Sus scrofa: one gene and its partners. The protein of the gene in region 5 purifies or fractionates together with the protein of the main gene of each other region. This does not show direct contact. Links are inferred from orthologs where the notes say so. Each region holds a gene or a part of one and is shown on either strand. Other genes may lie near its edges. The genes, in order: FBL, UBTF, MYBBP1A, WDR77 and SIRT7.

What was found.
Region 1: the proteins of SIRT7 (region 5) and FBL purify together in Homo sapiens (affinity purification with mass spectrometry; 3 studies listed by BioGRID, with this or other methods). This does not show direct contact. The link is inferred for Sus scrofa from reciprocal best matches to the Homo sapiens genes SIRT7 and FBL.
Region 2: the proteins of SIRT7 (region 5) and UBTF purify together in Homo sapiens (affinity purification with western blotting; 3 studies listed by BioGRID, with this or other methods). This does not show direct contact. The link is inferred for Sus scrofa from reciprocal best matches to the Homo sapiens genes SIRT7 and UBTF.
Region 3: the proteins of SIRT7 (region 5) and MYBBP1A purify together in Homo sapiens (affinity purification with western blotting; 3 studies listed by BioGRID, with this or other methods). This does not show direct contact. The link is inferred for Sus scrofa from reciprocal best matches to the Homo sapiens genes SIRT7 and MYBBP1A.
Region 4: the proteins of SIRT7 (region 5) and WDR77 purify together in Homo sapiens (affinity purification with mass spectrometry; 3 studies listed by BioGRID, with this or other methods). This does not show direct contact. The link is inferred for Sus scrofa from reciprocal best matches to the Homo sapiens genes SIRT7 and WDR77.

What each region holds. Positions count from the first base shown.
Region 1 is NC_010448.4:48,323,626-48,327,764, reverse strand, and holds the start of FBL (rRNA 2'-O-methyltransferase fibrillarin), read left to right. Parts: upstream 1-1,331; 5' UTR 1,332-1,450; coding exon 1,451-1,460; intron 1,461-4,139.
Region 2 is NC_010454.4:19,003,580-19,006,661, reverse strand, and holds the end of UBTF (nucleolar transcription factor 1), read right to left. Parts: intron 3,014-3,082; coding exon 2,870-3,013; intron 2,779-2,869; coding exon 2,653-2,778; 3' UTR 517-2,652; downstream 1-516. UniProt on the Homo sapiens protein: Recognizes the ribosomal RNA gene promoter and activates transcription mediated by RNA polymerase I (Pol I) through cooperative interactions with the transcription factor SL1/TIF-IB complex.
Region 3 is NC_010454.4:50,493,304-50,496,086, forward strand, and holds part of MYBBP1A (myb-binding protein 1A), read right to left. Parts: intron 2,032-2,783; coding exon 1,794-2,031; intron 1,614-1,793; coding exon 1,488-1,613; intron 1,402-1,487; coding exon 1,333-1,401; intron 826-1,332; coding exon 712-825; intron 510-711; coding exon 408-509; intron 1-407. UniProt on the Homo sapiens protein: May activate or repress transcription via interactions with sequence specific DNA-binding proteins. Repression may be mediated at least in part by histone deacetylase activity (HDAC activity).
Region 4 is NC_010446.5:108,913,127-108,916,094, reverse strand, and holds the end of WDR77 (methylosome protein 50), read right to left. Parts: intron 2,838-2,968; coding exon 2,729-2,837; intron 2,192-2,728; coding exon 2,123-2,191; intron 1,601-2,122; coding exon 1,441-1,600; coding exon of another isoform or gene 1,410-1,440; 3' UTR 501-1,409; downstream 1-500. UniProt on the Homo sapiens protein: Non-catalytic component of the methylosome complex, composed of PRMT5, WDR77 and CLNS1A, which modifies specific arginines to dimethylarginines in several spliceosomal Sm proteins and histones.
Region 5 is NC_010454.4:1,076,870-1,081,018, reverse strand, and holds the start of SIRT7 (NAD-dependent protein deacetylase sirtuin-7), read right to left. Parts: upstream 2,814-4,149; 5' UTR 2,813-2,813; coding exon 2,720-2,812; intron 2,650-2,719; coding exon 2,512-2,649; coding exon of another isoform or gene 2,431-2,511; coding exon 2,326-2,430; intron 423-2,325; coding exon 352-422; intron 249-351; coding exon 176-248; intron 1-175. UniProt on the Homo sapiens protein: NAD-dependent protein-lysine deacylase that can act both as a deacetylase or deacylase (desuccinylase, depropionylase, deglutarylase and dedecanoylase), depending on the context. Specifically mediates deacetylation of histone H3 at 'Lys-18' (H3K18Ac).

The DNA of each region.
Region 1 (4,139 bases), on a different chromosome or scaffold from region 5:
CCCAGGCTAGGGGTCGAATCAGAGCTGTGGCCACCGGCCTACGCCAGAGCCACAGCAACTTGGGATGCGAACCACGTCTGCAACCTACACCACAGCTCACAGCAATGCTGGATCCTTAACCCACTGAGCAAGGGCAGGGATCGAACCCGCAACCTCATGGTTCCTAGTCGGATTCGTTAACCACTGCGCCACAACGGGAACTCCCACTTGTTTTGTTCTGAGGAACAAATATATAGGATGCATATTCAAGTTATAAAATTACAAAGCACAAATTTCTCAATACTTAGGCAGAATCTGCTCACTCCTCACCCCTTCCTCTGCCTGCATCATGATCCATTGCAGCAGGGCCCTCATTGGTCTCCCAAACCTATTCCTTCACTCAGTTTCCCACATACAGCCAGGCGACCCAAGTGAGATTATATCCCTTCTTTGTTCAGGAACCTCTTTCTCTCTCAGAGTAAAAGCCAAAATTATCACCCTAAAGCTCCATACAATTTGCTTTGTCGACCTCCCTACCCTCATCTCCTCCCCCTCTCCCCAAGATTACTCTGCCCCGACCACATCCCTCACTGTTTCTGCAACCCTCCTTACCTTTCCTGCTTCAGGGCCTTGGCACCTGCAACCCTTGCTGCCTGCGTTCTCTTCCCGCAGATAGAACATGCCTCCCTCCTCATCTTCTTTCGCTCTTTGCTCAAAAATCACCAGATGGGCTCCCTGACCACCGGGTAAGAAATTTCACACACTGTCCCCCACTCCCAACACCAGTCCCTATTCCCTCCCTGCTATTTTCTCCAAAGCACTTACAGCCTTCTATCATTCAACAATGATTTTTACTAACTATCATTCAACAATGATTTTTACTAACTCGTTTGCTGTTTGTTTCCCCCACTGCAAGATGAGCTCCAGGAGGGTGGGGATGTGTCTGTCTTGTTCTCTGCCATATTTCCAAAGCCTAGAACAGTGCTTCGTACATTCAGGCGCATAATTAGTGCTTTTCAAATGTATGAATGCGAGTCCAGAGTTGGCCCTTGTTCTTGGGGGTGAAAATGGATTAGGGAAGGCTTTGAGGTGTAGAGGGAAACTTAGGGAGTTAATCAGGAATAGAGAAGAGGAGCTAGGGTAGCCCGTGCGAAGGTTTGGAGACCTGATTACTGGGGTGCTTGCACAGGTGGAGAGGAAGCGGGAAGAGTGTTCAGGCAGCAAGCGCTGCACAGGAAAGGCGGTGCCAGCGGCGGTCGAAGAGGCGGTACCGGGAGGGGCTCGGGAATCCCCGCCCACAGCGCGCACACAAGCCATGGGCGGGGCTGTGGCTCCGAAGGATGGGGTCTGCGTGCTTGCGTCACGCGCCGCACGTCGCCGCGCGCCTGCGCTCCTTTCCACGTGCGTAAACCCGGGACGCGTGGAGTCGAAAGAGCCTCAGATTACTGAGTAGCGAACCTCTGTGCTCGCTATGAAACCAGGTACGGGCCGGGGTTGGGATCGGGGGTCTGGGACTGGGGCCTGGTGGGGATCGGGGTGCCAGTCCGGAACGAAGGGGTATGGTGGTCTTGGCCTGGAGGCAGGAGTTCTGAGCCCCGGATCCGGTCTCTTGTGGGGAGGGGGGTCTTGGTTCCGCTCTCCGGTGTGGGTGAAGGGGGCTCGCTTTTGCATGGTGATTGAACTTGAGCCCGGGGTTCGGGTTCCTGGTCTGGAGCTTTGTGACTGGCTTTCCCGAGGTCACAGTCGTGGGTCGAGGGTCTTTGGCGTGGGCTTGAGGAGGGTTGTGTCTTGACCTGGGATTCGTTTCATTGAAGCTGTCGTTAGAGGTCTTGGATGTTGGCCCGGCGGCAGCAATCGCGAATACTAACCCAGAATCCAGATCCAGGCATCTAGGGTCTCGGATCTCTGGGTGTGGGATTTGGGAATTTGTCCTGGTTCGGAGGCGGAGAGTCGCTGATTCGGGGGTCCGAAAGCTGGGTCTGAGAGGACCAGGTATGCTCCTGTGTCGCCACCGCTACTGCGGTACCCTTGGCCCCAACACCCAGCTTCTCGGAGAGGGCCGGCATGGATGGATTCTCCCGGCTTGGTAGTCTCTCTGGCCCATTTTCCCGCTCTCCACTTACCAGAGAGGGGCGGGTCCCTGAGGATGGAGATCCTGGGCCTAGTGCTGATGAGAGATGAGATGAAACTTGACAGCCCAGTATAGGATTAAAGTGGGGGGGGGGGCGCGTAATCACGGAGCATGAGTGTTTTTATCCATTCCGATCTTACTCGAGATTTTGATGAACCCAGTGCATCTCCCTCTTGGTCTAATGATGAGAGTACAGGCTTTGACAGCAGAAGAGCCTCCGTTCAAAGTTTCAGTCCTCACTATGCTTAATTTACTGTGTGATCTGGAGCAAGTAAGTGACTTTCTCTCTCTGAGCCTCTGTTATCTCATCAATGAAAAATGGCACCCAGCTCTAATTTAGTGAAATCATGTTAAGAAGAAATACCGGGAGTTCCCATCGTGGCGCAGTGGTTAACGAATCCGACTAGGAACCATGAGGTTGCGGGTTCGATCCCTGCCCTTGCTCAGTGGGTTAAGGATCCGGTGTTGCCGTGAGCTGTGGTGTAGGTTGCAGACGCAGCTCGGATCTCGCGTTGCTGTGGCTCTGGTGTAGGCCGGTGGCTACAGCTCCGATTAGACCCCTAGCCTGGGAACCTCCATATGCTGCGGGAAGCTGCCCTAGAAAAGGCAAAAAGACGGAAAAAAGAAAAAAATCAGCACCTGCTGACAGTCATTTCACAATATACCAGTATCAAATCAACAGGTTGTATGCCTTGAACTTACACAACGTTATATTATGTCAACTGTATCTCATATAGCACAGCCCTTGACATATAATAGTATTGGCTCCAATTGTTATCTTCTTAAGGGAAATGAGATTATGGTCCTTCTTCCTAAGTCAGGCCAAGCCCCTCCCTGTAACTTGGTTCCCTTGGAGTTGGGGAAATCTTCTATCCTGACCAAAAGTTTTTGTTTTTTTTTTTTCTTCCTTTCCAGTCCCCCCTGACCCCAGCCTGTGGAGGGATGGGGTCATCTGGAGGTGTCGGGGGGAGGGGGAGGCTGTTTTGTGGGTCCATGCTGCCTCCCAAGTTCCCTTTCTCTTCTTCAGTGTTTGGGGATCTACTTGTGGAATGAGAAGTGCCAGGAGGGTGTCTCCATGAGACCCTGGTATGCCTGCAAGCATCCTGTGGTCTGATTACCCCAGGAGTGGCGCAAGATACACCTTCCTTCCAACCCCTCCTTCGCTGTATTAGGCTGTAAAGTTGTAGAAATTGTCAGGAGTCAGCTCTTTAGCAAGGAGTTTAATCTGGTTGAGAGAAGAAGCCTTTGGGAGATTCTGAACCGAGACATGATGTCAGTCAGACTTGACTGAGACATTTAAAAGGATCCTTCCTGCTTCTGTGTATAAAAGATTTTAGGAGGGGGAGTTCTTGTCGTGGTGCAGCGGAAAACGAATCTGATTAGTATCCACAAGGATGTGGGTTCGATCCCTGGCCTCGCTCAGTGGGTTAAGGATCCAGCATTGCCGTGAGCTGTGGTGTAGGCCAGCAGCTGTGGCTCGGATTGGACTCTTAGCCTGGAAACTTCCATATGCCACGGGTGCAGCCCTAAAAACCAAAAAAGAAAAAAGACTTTAGGGGAACAAGAATGAAAGCAGGAGGAGTTCCCATCGTGGCGCAGTGGTTAACGAATCCGACTAGGAACCATGAGGTTGCGGGTTCGGTCCCTGCCCTTGCTCAGTGGGTTAACGATCCGGCGTTGCCGTGAGCTATGGTGTAGGTTGCAGACGCGGCTCGGATCCCACGTTGCTGTGGCTCTGGCGTAGGCCGGTGGCTACGGCTCCAATTGGACCCCTAGCCTGGGAACCTCCATATGCCGCGGGAGCGGCCCAAGAAATAGCAACAACAACAACAACAACAAAAAAAAAAAAAAAAAAAAAAGAATGAAAGCAGACTCATCAGTGGGAAGTTGGTTGCTGTCATCTACTAGGAGATGATATGGCTTAGGCCAGGGTGGTAGCAGTGGACCTGGCTGACAAATTGTCACCATTTGGGAACATATTTTGAAGATAGAGCCAACAGCTTGTATGCAGGTGTGAGAGAAGGGTCAA
Region 2 (3,082 bases), about 18 Mb from region 5:
GCCTGACAACCCAACGTGAACCAACTGAATCGAGAAAGTGCAAAAACAGTAGCACAAGGAGTTCCCGTCGTGGCGCAGTGGTTAATGAATCTGACTTGGAACCATGAGGTTGCGGGTTCGGTCCCTGCCCTTGCTCAGTGGGTTAAGGATCCGGCGGTGCCGTGAGCTGTGGTGTGAGTCACAGATGCAGCTAGGATTCCGAGTTGCTGTGGCTCTGGTGTAGGCTGGTGGCTACAGCTCCGATTCAACCCCTAGCCTGGGAACCTCCATATGCTGCAAGAGGGGCTCAAGAAAAGGCAAAAAGACAAAGCAAAACAAAACAAACAAAAAAACCCCCAGTAGCACAAAACAGTGCGAAGGTAGGTTGCCTATGGCATCTTCAGGAGAGAGGAAGATGGTTCTAGAAAGAAGAGGCCAAGAAGCTGGCTTCAAGGGGCTTTCCACATTGAGCCTGTTCGGTCACCTCTGCCACCACTCCCCCTTCATGGAGTCCAGTGATCAGACAGCACTCAAACCTTTGTTTTTTTACTTTATTGTACAAAAAAAGGGAAAACAAAACTTCCACAGTTGGCCTTAAGCTTAGGCGGACACCTCTAAGCCATTCCCTCCCACCTCCCATGTTACAAATTCAAGTTGTGGTTGTTGTTGAAACCTACAAAAACACTCCTTAAATATTAGAAAAAAGGGGGGGGAGCGGGGTCCTCCCACCCCAGCCATCCCATCCCAGTGCCAAAATGCACTCAGAGTGACCTCTCACAGCACCAACACCCTAACCCCCCACAGCCCTGTTTGTACTGTAAGAATTTTTCAACTTTCAAAACGGGGGGAAAGAAACAGTGCCCCGCTCGAAGTTGGTTTTAAGTGAAGACATGTTTCACTAAAACACAACAGCGCAGGAGCATTCAAACAGGGAAACAGGGTTCTCTGCAGGGGCTCTCCGGAAGAAATAGAACCTATGAACCCTTGTACCTAATTCCAGGATCAGGACAAAGGAAGGGGAGTGGGAGTGGGAAGTGTCCCTCCCTAGCTCCCCCCACTCCCAGCACCAAGTCCAAGGCAAAGCGGACCGCCTGCCTTTGGGAGCAGGACCCACCTTTCCCAGCCCGCCTCCTGGGCGGAGCTCCCACTCTTCCCCATCCCTTGGCTTTCATTCAGAGGGGAAGGTGGAAAAGCACAAAGCCCCGATTAGATAGGTCAACGATGTGATTGTTTAAAAAAAAAAAAGTCAAAATTTAATAAAAACAACCCCCCCAAATTTAAACCCAGAGACAAGGTGGCTTGGCTTATTAAGAGTTTAGGAATCGGGGTACCAAAATTGGGGGGATGGCTGGGAAGGGTTAGGACAGCTGCAAAAACAGCTTGTGCAGACCTCTTCCCCAGCCGTGGGTTTGGGGAGGTGGGCAGACCTGAGAAATCAAAGGAAATGGGGGTGGGGGAGCTGGAGGATGTGGCGGAAAGGCAGGAGCGACGTGTAAGTTACAAGCTTCCAACACATTTCTCGGAGCCCAGGGTGGCCGGGAGGCCTCTCAGATGAGCTGCAGAGGCCTTTCCCACCAAATCAAAGCTTTAAGGTTCTACCTGGTCTGTTCCCCTCTCCGCCATCCTGCTGGATATTGGAGACCAGCAGTAGCTCAGAGGGAAACCAGTATGAGAAGCATCAGAGGAGCTTCGGTCACCCCGCAAAACTGAATCCGAGATTCGGCAAAGCAGAAGATATGGAGAAAGGGGCCACCCAGCCTGTCCCCATCAGGATCAATGTCACCCCGGCCCGCACCAACACTTTCACCAGATTCACAGACTTGAGGTGGGCTCCTCCTCCTCTCTTACACACACAAATACACATGTGCCTTTGCACACATCCACAGGTGCACCCATGCTATGTACAGGCCACGCACACACACACGCACACACACGCATTTTTCCACACGCATCAAGACCGTTTTAAAAAAGTCCCAAACCTAACCCCTACCCCCTCCCTCTCCCAGAAATGACAACAGAGACGGCAGCCGAGATCGGTAGGAAACGTCTCGTTGACAGCTCAGAGCTTAAAAAAAAAAATATATACACATATATAAAAAACACTTCTGCCCCCTCCCCTCGTGAGTGGGTCCAGGCAGCTCCTTCCTGCAGGGGGCAGGGGAGAGGGCTGGGGGGCCGTGCCTATTTCCCCATAGGCACCCGCCCTCCTCTCCCATGTCCCCTGCCTCCAGTTCCAATGTAGGGGTCCAGGCTGCAGCCCCTCTGGAAACAAAGGGGCCTTCCCCAAGCTTCCACCCTCCCAGGGGTTGGGCTGCAGGTGTAGAGGGCCTCAGAGAACTCTTTGGGACCCACCCCCGATCCCACTCCCAGGTCCATTGTCCATGCCGGAACTGCGAGTGCAAAAGAGGGGTGGGCTGGGCCGGTCCAGTGGTGGCTCAGTCTGGTGGTTGCGCTCCCTGGAGGGCCCTCCAGGGCTGATGGCTCTAAGGCCGCAGAGTTCTAGCCTGGGCGCCTCCAGTGCCTCTCCCCACTGTATTTTGTTTTTTTTTTTAAAAAAAAAGAAAAAAGAAAAAGAAAGAAAGAAAGTGGGGGAGGCCAGGGGGCAGGGGACAGAACATGGGAGAGAAACAAAGGTGGTCAGTCGAGGAGGGGCGCCCCGCGTGGGGCTGAGCCTCAGTTGGAGTCAGAGTCCGAGGAGTCCCCCGAGGAGGACGAGCTGGAGCTGCTGCCCTCGGATTCGTTGTCCTCGTCCTCGTCGTCATCCTCGTCGTCGTCCTCGTCCTCATCCTCATCCTCGTTCTGGGAGGCAAGGGAAGTGCAGTCACCAGGGGGCCGTGCTGGCGGGACCCCGTCCCGCCCTCCCGCCCGCCCGCCTGCCCGCCCGCCCCACCTCATCCCCGTCCTCGCTCTCGTCCTCGCTGCTGGACTCGGAGGAGTCGCCGCCATCCTCGGAGGAGTCCCCGTTCTCGTCATCTTCCTCCTCCTCGTCCTCGTCCTCGTCCTCCTCATCCTCTTCATCGTCCTCCTCAGACTCCTGCGAGGGATGGAAGCCCATCAGGGGTCCCTGCCGCGCCCTGGACCCTGCACGGGGCCCTCCTCCTGG
Region 3 (2,783 bases), about 49 Mb from region 5:
CTAGGCCAGAGGGGGAGAACCAGACACCCTCAGAGGCCTCCTGGCCCCACGCCCGCCTCCTGTCTGCAGGCCTGGAACCTAGGCTCTTTTCTGACAGCCGCCCCCCAGGAACCTTCCTCGCCTCCTCCGCTATCACTGGCCCCCCTCGCCCCTTCTCAGCTTTCGCCCGGGAGCACGGCAACAGCCCACCGGCGCCCCCTCCCCGGCCAGGTGCGAGCTGTGAGCCTCTCTTCCCAGTGAAGTGCCTTGACCTGAGACTCTCTAACCACCCGCATGAGAACAGCCCAGATTCCTCCCCCGGCATCCAGAACCTCTCCCACGTGGCTTCCCACCAGCTCCCAAACCCCTGCTCAGGCTCCGTGCTCACCAGCACGTGCGGCGACCTCCCGCCTGAGCCCCAGGCTCACCTCCTGGCGAATGTTCTTGAAGAGAGTGTTGAGCAGCTCCAAGGAGGACAACTCCTTCTGGTGCTCCGACTTGGTCTCGGCCTCCCCCAGCGTCCGCAGGTTCTGGGGAGAAGGCGGCCAGCCTGAGCCCCTCCACAGAGCCGTTCCAGGCCTCTCCACCTCCCACAGGAGGCCGAGGCCCAAGGGAACAAACGCCTCCTGGGCAAACCCAAACCCGCCCCAGGCACGGGGTCCCGCACTCCTTGCCCCCAGGTTCCCAGAGCCACTGATGGCAGGTGGGGGGCGGAGGCCCCGTGGCTGTTACCTCGGAGACCTTCGCCAGGATCTGGCCCATCAGCTGCTCCCACTCCGGGGCCTTAAAGCACAGTCTCAGCTCCCGCGTGTGCAGGCTCTTCTGGAGCAGCAGGCAGGCCTGGGCCTGGGCGGGGAACACGTGGTCACCGGGAGCCTCGGCATGCTGCGTCAAGGCTCAGGGAAGCACAGGGGACCTGGGGAGCCTGCCAGGTACCCGAATAGACTGTGACAAGGCCAGGCTGTGCGGGAGGGGCTGCCCGCTGCTCTGGGGCCAACCTGCCTGAGCTGTCACCACAGGCACCCGGGGCTCGGCCATCGCCTGCTCCTGCCCCCTCTTCTCAGGCAGGTGGGAGGACCTGGACAGGGGGCCCCACTTAGGGTGACATAGTTACTGGTCCTTTGCTAATTCAGTGCCTCTTCCTCCAGCGTCTCCAGCCGCCTGTCTGATGCCCACCCCCAGGCCAACCTGTTAGCCTCGGGGCTCCCTCCACGTAGGCCAGAGCCTGAGCTCTGAGGAGCTGGAGGGCTCAGGCCACAAGCAAAGTGTCTCGTCCCCACACCCAGCGCCCCCCTCTCCAATAACCAGCCAGACAGGAGTCAAGCGGGTCCTGGGATCCGGGGACCCTCTTACCTGATGGCGGGGCCGACTGTGGCTGGCTATGTGCTCGACCACGAGGGGGAGCAGGTTCTTACAGAGCATCTGTGGAGGGAAGGACAGGGCTGGGACGTGGGCAATGAGGAGCGGGCTGAGCAGGGGCCCAAGGGGGTGGCCGGGCCTGCACTCACCGGGTGCCGGCAGAAGAGGCTGAGGAACATGGGAACGGTGAGCGGACTGTTGCGCTTGGTCAGGAACGAGCTCAGCACCGCTGAGTAGATCGGGGTCACGCGGCTCAAGTCCAAGCAGGTGGCAGCCTGGACCACGAGAGACAGAGCGCAGTGTGAGGCCGGGCTGCCTTCGGAGGGCGGACCACTGGATCCTGGGGAAGGCTTGGCCTCAACTCCCACTCCGTGAAATGGGCGGGTGGCCCCGCGCCCCCTGGGCCTTGCTCCCATCTCTGGGCATGGGAGCCTTCCCGGGTCAGGCCTGCTCACCTCGCGGCCCTGGGCGCTGGCATCAGCGGCGGTGGTTTTCTCCTTCTGGGCGGACTTGTCCACGGTGCTGCCCTTCAGGACCCGGAGCAGGTAGAGCGAGGCGTTGAAGTGGTACAGGGCGACGGAGGAGTCGGCCTGCTGGCCGGCCTGCCGCACCAGCCGCTCCAGCTGGGCATACACTGTCTCCACACGGTCCCCCACGTCGCGGCAGTAATGCCGGGAGCGGCACAGGTGGTGTCTGTGGCGGGGGAAGGGCCAGAGCTGGTCAGCGGCCTGCCCCCGCCTGCTCCCTGCCCAGCAGGAGCCAAGCCCCAGAGCCCCGGGCCCCACATCCCAGGCAGGAAAGTCACCAAAGGGGTCGCCCCGGGGCCACGCCCAGATCTGCTCTGAGGAAAACGGGGGGCAACTGGCTCCCTGGGCGAGGCTCCGCTAGGGCCAACATCCCGACCTGGTCCCCAGCCGCATCTGCATCGTCTCTCGGGGGACAGTGGCCTCCAGGCCCTTTGGAAAGCAAAACCAGGGTCTGTGTGCTCAGAAGCCTGCTGGGCCCTGCGGGACCAGGTGCAGATGGGACAGGAGGCAGGGCACTCCACAGACGACACTGCGGCAGGGAGGGGAGGGCCGGCCGTCGCTTGTGACCCGGGGCCAGTGGGGAGCGAGCCGCGGGTGCGCTGCCCCACTCTCGCCACCCGCTTAACGGTCCTCACGCCTCTACCTGCCACCTGCTTGCGTCTCACTGGGCTCCCTGCTCCAGCACAGCCCACCCTGCTGCCCATTTCTGAAAAGGCAAACCAGCCCCCGGGCCCATGCTCTTGCTGCAAACACTTCCGCAGACCCCCAGCAGTTCAAGGGCCAGGCCGTGAGGGCTCGATGCTGTGGCTGCGTCTGACTGGCGCCCGGCTGGACACGCCTTCCCGCCCTCTTCAGCTCTGACGTTGCTGACCCCTCTCCCAGGAGGCCCTCCCTGCGACCTCACTGGCTCCTATGCGC
Region 4 (2,968 bases), on a different chromosome or scaffold from region 5:
ATTTTAAGCTTTTGCCTCTGGGAAGTGTTTCTACCAAAGCACCAATTCTTCCCAGGGAGTTAGAGTTAAGAACAGTGAAGCTTCCTTCCTACCTCCCCGCAAACCCAGTAGACAGATCCACTGACTACAAATTGCCCTGTTTTTACTAGAGGGTAACTGTGAGAATAGAGCTCGTGCTCAGCAAGGGTGGAACACAGAAGCTTTACTTACCAATACTTTGCCCATGAAACTGGGGCGGTTTCATGGGATTTTCACTAAATGAAACTTGGAAAGCACAAAAGTACATAGCTGATTGCATTTAGTTTCAATGCAATCAGTAATTGACCCATAACTTCTAAGCGGCAGTAGCCACCAACCAAATAACCAAACGTTTGCCTTAAGTTCCAACTACTCCGTGGGGCTGGGGAAGCACACACAAAAAATAACGGGCTATAGGACTGGTACCCAGATGACACATAAGTGACACAGGTCTAACTGCACATGAGACACACACCTCAAAAGACAGGCCAACAATGAATCAACTTTTTATTTCACTGACCAGTATTTCCGATTCTCTCTCTCTCTTGCTGCATTTAAAATCTTCAGAGTTCCCCAAAATAACATTCAGGCTTCCTAGATCCAGAGGCAGGGACCCAGAGGCAAAAAAGGTCAGGCCCCAGGCTGTTTTCAGGTGGGAAAGTGGCAGACATTCCTATGAAAGTCTGTGTCAGTTTTTAACTGAAGTGCCTTTAAGCTCTCCACCTTCCTGAAACTTTTTCCCATGGCATCTATGACAGAAATACACTCATCTCTCATATACACAACTTCACGGGGGGTGGGCATCACACACTTCTTACTCAGCCAGCAACTGGACTTCGGCTCAGTCTAATGGCAAAGAGATGTGCAAAACCATGTTAAGTGTCCTGGCTCTTCCTCAAGGTGAGCTGGGCCGGACTTCTGTGAATGGAAGCACTGCCCATGACAAAGGCGAATCAAGCTCTATTAAAAAAATAAAGGTGCTCCTATCTCTATGACGAGTCACGAGCTGCTTCCAAGAATCCAGCAATGCCCACAGCCCAGACCTTACCAAGACACAGTCAATTCCTCAAGCATAGCTACATGGGAGGCATAAAAACCTTCTGCCAACTTCTTGTGGGGGGAGGGGGGTTAGATCTTGGGGAAGATGCGGGATGCATTTTTTTTTATTCATCTCTGCTAAAAAAATTATGTTATCTACACATACACTCAGACACATACACACACGTCCATCTTCAAGGAAGTTTTTCTTCTCTGTGACTACAGGACCCCAGATCCAGCCTCCCCCAGGCTGAGAGACAATGCCTATTAACAGATCTGGTGTGTCAACACACTATATAAGGCTCCTGTGTTGTCTCACAAACTGAGTGGGCAGGGGCAGAGGGAGCAGATACTCATGGGGGATTTGCTTGTCTTAAATCCAGTCTACTCGGCAGCACTCTTAAGTCCAGGCTCTGGGAAAGGTTCTGTGGGCAAGATGTGGTGGACGACCTGATGGTCCCAGCCCACTGTCGTAAGAAGGGAGTGATTGAGCGGTGACCAGGTAGCATCTCTCACAAAGTCTCTGTGGGCTCGGCTTCTAAACCTACAAGAGAAAAAAGAAAAGTGTGGGCACGTAAGAGAGACAGGAGGGACCAAGAAACGGACCCGACACCCCAGGGCACGTCCTGTGGATGTGTTACAGTCCAATCCAGGGCCCGATTTTCATAGAAGAAATGAGAGCCAGAGTAAAGGTAATGACACAAGTCAGCATCAGACAGCGGACCACAGCAAAGAAGGAAGTGCAATTCCAATCTCTGCCTGGTGCCTTTCGCCCTACAGCACGCTGCACTGCCTGCGTGTAGCTCTTCACATGAGGAGGGTAGACTGCCCCTTTCTGGGAGACAGCTGGAAGGCCAGACTCGGAAATCCCAACCCCACCACCTTCCCCCACTGCCAGGGACAGAGCTGGTTGTGAGTCAGCCCCGAACAAGGGAGACAGTCAAGCCTGCTTCCATCACCCGGTCCCGTGGAAAGAGACAATACACTTTTCCAAAGAGAAAAAGGACCCAGCCAGCGGCTGCTCCCCGCCCTGCTTCCCGATCACAGGATTCCACGTCACACTTACACCTTGGAGAGGCCCGAGTCCAGCACGGCGAGGGAGCAGTCTTCACTCACAGAAGCCAGGAAGGGAGTGCTAGGAGACAAGGGGGTGGCGGGGGGAGGTAAAGCCCACAGGCCCCAATGCAAAACCTCACTGGCCCCCAGACCCCGACTCTAAAGTGATCGGAGCAGCTGGCCTAACCCCACTTAAGGCTAAGGTCTGGCTACACCTAAGTCTACAGTATACGTTTCAAAGACAGATGAGGAAAAGGGAGCAAAGCCAGGGCTGAGAAGCATCCCAGCAACTAACCTTCTCACTGGGTCCCTCCCCACAGCTTCATCAATAACCCAGAAACAACTTCCAACCACACAGCCCTAGAAGCCCACAATATTAGTCACTGTGGGTGTTGAGCAGGAACAACACCGAATTTCAGCCATTTGCAGTCAGAGACCATACAACCCCCAAAAGGACTGCAGTGTTAAGAGCCCCCTCACTGAGATTCCGAAAGCTCAGCTACAACAGTGCCTGCTTTAAGGAACTACCCAGTCGGCCAGTGCTCCGCCGACACAGGCATCTCCCCTCACTGTTCCCATTTACACCCGCCAGGCCCTCGACGACAAAGAACAGTACCTGTGTGGAGAGAACACCAGCCCGGTGACACTCTGGGAGTGCACAGTTGCGCTGAGGGCACAGCTTGCACTCTTGGTGTCCACAAGGGAGACGGTCCCATTCTCATCGCCTGAAGGAAAGAGGGGGGACATCACAGAGGTAAGAGCATGGGCTTTGGACTCAGCCAGGCCTGGATTTGGATGCTCGTTCCTCAATCTTGGACAAGTTCACCACTCTAAGCATCAATTTCCTCTTTGGTAA
Region 5 (4,149 bases):
CATGCGGGCAGGTAGTTGCACAGCCCTGCCATTGTTTTTGGTGGTACAAGCGGGCTGAAGGCGACGGGAGGTCTACCCGGGGCGGGGGGGGGGCTTGAGCGTCCTCGGCCTCCGGTATCCGAGGCGGACCCCCAGGGCCGACCGGACAAAGCGCGCCGCCGCCCTGGGCTCTTACCAGCTTCTGCTCGTGTAAGCGGGCGATGCTCATGTGGGTGAGGGTCGGCTCGGCCTCACTCAGGTCGGCAGCACTGCCGGGTGGAAGGGAAGCGGAGGTGAGGGGACCGGGCAGGGCAGGGCAGGCCCACGCTGCCCCTGCTCAACCAGGTGGGAAGGCTGCGCCAGGCTGCTTACCTAACGCTTCTTCCTTTCTGAAGCAGCGTCCACACTCCGTTAGGGCCCCGGTAGTCTGGGATAGAGGCCGCCTGCACGTCCGGAAAGAAGACAGGCCCAGTGAAGGGGCATCACTGTAGGCGCTGGCAGAATCCCCAAGAATCTCCCCAGCACGTCCCGGGACTGGCCTCCATTCACTCCAGGGGCTCGGCGTTTCCCAGTCTAACTGGTCGCCCAGAGGGAGCACCCCCCACGACTCCTTCCCTCTGCCTGGACCCCTGCACCCAACCAGTCCGGCTCATCCTTCTGGGATCCAGAGAGCCTCGCTAGCATGGAGCAGGACTGGTCAGGCTCATCTGGGTGTTGTGTACTCCAGGCCCAGCCAGTGCTCAGCAAATGGTGAGGCCCTAGGCGGAACGCACCTCCTCCAAGGCCTTACAACCGGACGCTGTGAGGGGTTCCTGTCCTGCCTTCAGAAGACAGGCCGGCCTCTTCAGGTGACAGAAACATGACTGAATTCCCCAAGTTCCCAATTCAGTGAGAAAGAACCGCCCCGAGAGAAGGAGACAAAAATTTCGCCAGGACCAAGACGTCTGGCGTCTCCCAGGCCGGGAGGGCGCCCCCTTCCGGGGAGCACTGACTCCTCTCTGCTGCTTAAACTCAGGAACATGCCTGCCCTGACCAGTGGTTCCGACTCACCCTGAACAGGGGAGCCTCAAACAGTAACACTCAGAGCCAATTCCTGAATGCCACGTGGCTTCCGCAGCTGCTTACAGTTCTTTGAAAGTGAAATGACAGCTTTTACGGAATCTCGTGATGGGAGTTCACGGGTGCCAGGGCTCCAGAGGTTTGCTAAGCAGGTAACGTACCTCACACACCCTCGTTACTGGGCCTCTTCAGTCAACCCTGTTTGCAGTGTCTTACCCCTGAAGCGTCTAGAAAATCTTTCCCACCATTCAAGCCCAGACTCAGTGCTGCCTTCCACGGAAAACCAACCAGATGGGTCTCCCAATCTGAGACCTCAGAGGGGATACTTGAATTTTTCTTTTTGTTTTCAACCGCATCCGAGGCACATGGAAGTTCCCTAGCCAGGGACCCAACCTCAGCCAGAGCTGCGACTCAGGCCGCAGCTTCGGCAACGCCAAATCCTGAAGCAACTGCGCTGGGCTGGGGTTCAAACCAGCGCCTCCACAGAGCCAAGCCGGATCATTAACCCACTGCGCCACAGCAGGAACTCTGGCGCTGGGATTTCTATTCTAGTGCCCTAGCGCGGCCAGCCCCACATTACAAGTATCTGTCAACATGGCTTCCGAGCATCACCTGGCAGTGCTGGGCATCTTGAAGACAAAAATCCCTGTTACTCACCTCTGCCAGGCCCACCTGTAGGTCACACTCAACCTACAGCCAGCAATCAGACTATCCCCACTGTCAAGGCCGGTCATATTCCACCGCCCAGGTCGTCGCGCTACAACTTCGCAAAACAAAGCATGTCTCATCTCACAGGGTGCACCCTAACCTGACCGGTACTGCCTTGTCCGGTACCGACCGTTCCTCATTCAGAACACACACCGCACGGAGAGTCAGAAGAGGGTTTGGGGCTTGGCTCTCCCCACATCACCTCGGAGGGAGAATTAACCCCGTAACTTTCGATGAGGACGCCGCAAGCACTGATCTGTCACGCCCCGATGTATCCCTCTTCCTCTCCTCTTTCTAACTGCGTGTAACACAGAGCTCAAGTGTTTGAGAACGTTTATCTACTCAGTGAAGTTCCAAGTGGAGTCCTTTCAAGCTCCTCTAAGAAGGAAAGACTCTCAGAGGTGCTTTTTAAGGGGAATGTTTCGTGAATCCGTGTTGCTGCTTAGCAGTACCGTGCTCGGTGCTGGGGTCAGACACCCAGAAGGGGGCGCCCTCCGACCGCCCCCGTCCCGCTGGTCCGCGTTTCCCGAGAACTGGGAGCCGCCCCGGGGCGCGGCTGTCCCCGCCTCGCCTCCCTACCGTGCTGATCCCCGCGCCCGTGTAGACGACCAGGTGCTTGGCGTTGCGGACGGCGTCGGCCAGCTCCCGGACTTTTCTCCGCAGCTCCTCTGGGTCATCGCACACCTGCCGAGACGCCGAGGCCGGTGGTGAGGGCCCCCGGCCGGCCCGCGTCCCCGGTCGGCCCGCCCGCACCCCGGGACTCGCCTCCTCCTGCCGCCGCTTCAGGCCCTCGCGCCGCCTGCTCCGGCCCTGCAGCTCGGTCACCAGGTCCTCGCTCTCGGCCAGGAGCCGGCCTTCCTCCGCGCTGCGTTCGGCCGCCGCCTTCCTCAGGATGCGCGACACCTGCGGGCGCAGGGCAGGCGGTGAGGGTGGCGCGGGGCGGAGATGCGGCGCGGGGCGGGCGGCGGCGTACCTGGCGGAGGCGCTCCCGCTGCTGCTCCTCCCGCAGCCTCCGGACCCGCTCCGCCGCCTTGCGCTCCGACCGGCTTAGACCCCCGGCAGCCATCGCTCCCGGGGAGACCCGCGCTTCCGCTTCCGCCTCCCAGCGGGCCGCGCGCCGGCGCATGCGCGCGAGGCGCCGCCCCCGCCCCCCGCCCCGCCCGCGCGCCGCCCCAAGGAAGCACCTGCCAGTCTGTTTAAAAGGTGTTTATTGATCATATACAAAATAAAGAAAACCTTATATATCACAAACATACACTATGTACAGCAATAAATACCCAGGGCCCGGCCCAGTGCCGCCCCTCCTGGACAATAATTTAGCAATAAATACTGCACAGGGCAGGGACGGCGCGAGGCCGCTCCGCCCCAGGTCAGCCCGGGTGCCCCAGCGAGGCCCCTCCTCACCTGGATCTTCAACAACCCCCGCCCGCCCCCCGCAGACCCCAGGGTACCCCCACCCCCTCCTGTCCGCAGCCTTCAGCAGAGCAGGCAGGGGCTGATCAACTCTGCTTGGCCCACCCTCGCTGCGTCGGGAGAGCAGCAGAGCTGGACACACTGGACAGCCCTTGTCCTGCCGCCCTAAGATGCCAGGAGAAGGCTTTCTTTACCCACTCCCGTTTGGTTAAAGGCTTCAGGGACTAGCAGATTGAGGGGATGGGGAGAAGGGTGGGGCTGGGACACGAGGCCATGAGAGGCATCTCCCTCACAACTCATCTCGGACAGGCTCTCCTACACGCCAGCTCAGACTCCCGCCAAGGACACCCCGGTACCAAGGCTGCTGCTCCAGGGTGGGGTGGAAACATATGCAACTGACCCAACAGGTAGAGCACATGCTCAGGACACACAGGCCAGAGCAGGGCAGGCCATCCGTCTCCAGGGCACACCCCTGCCTCTTCCCATCTGCTCCAAAACCAGACAGCCAAGAGGAAGGTGAAAACGCGCCAAAAAGAATTATTCGGTGGCTTCTGGGGAAAAAAATCGTTAATGGGTTGGTTCCTTTCACCAAACCACAGCCTAAAAAAGTAACTTACAAGATCCCAGAGCGGAAACAGTGCTGCAGGCTGTGGCTTCCAGCTGTGGACTGGAGCTTTGGCCAACTCTCGACCCCAGAGGGGGGAGGCGGCAGGGACTGCGTGGAGTTTGTCCACCTGTCCCAAAGCACGCTGCAGCTGATCAGAGCCATGGGCCTGGGCACCAACTATCAAGGCCGCTGCTGACGGTCAGGGTTGTGCCCAGACCTGAGGCACAGACCAAGAGTAGAAAAGCCTCCGGAGAGACCCGCACACAGCAGCAACCAGCCCGCCACACAGCCGCGGAGCAGCTGCAGCTTCTTGCCCGCATAAACGCCACGCCGCCTGGAGCAGCAGCCAGGGGCCATGGGGTGGGCTCCCTGGGGCCACGCTG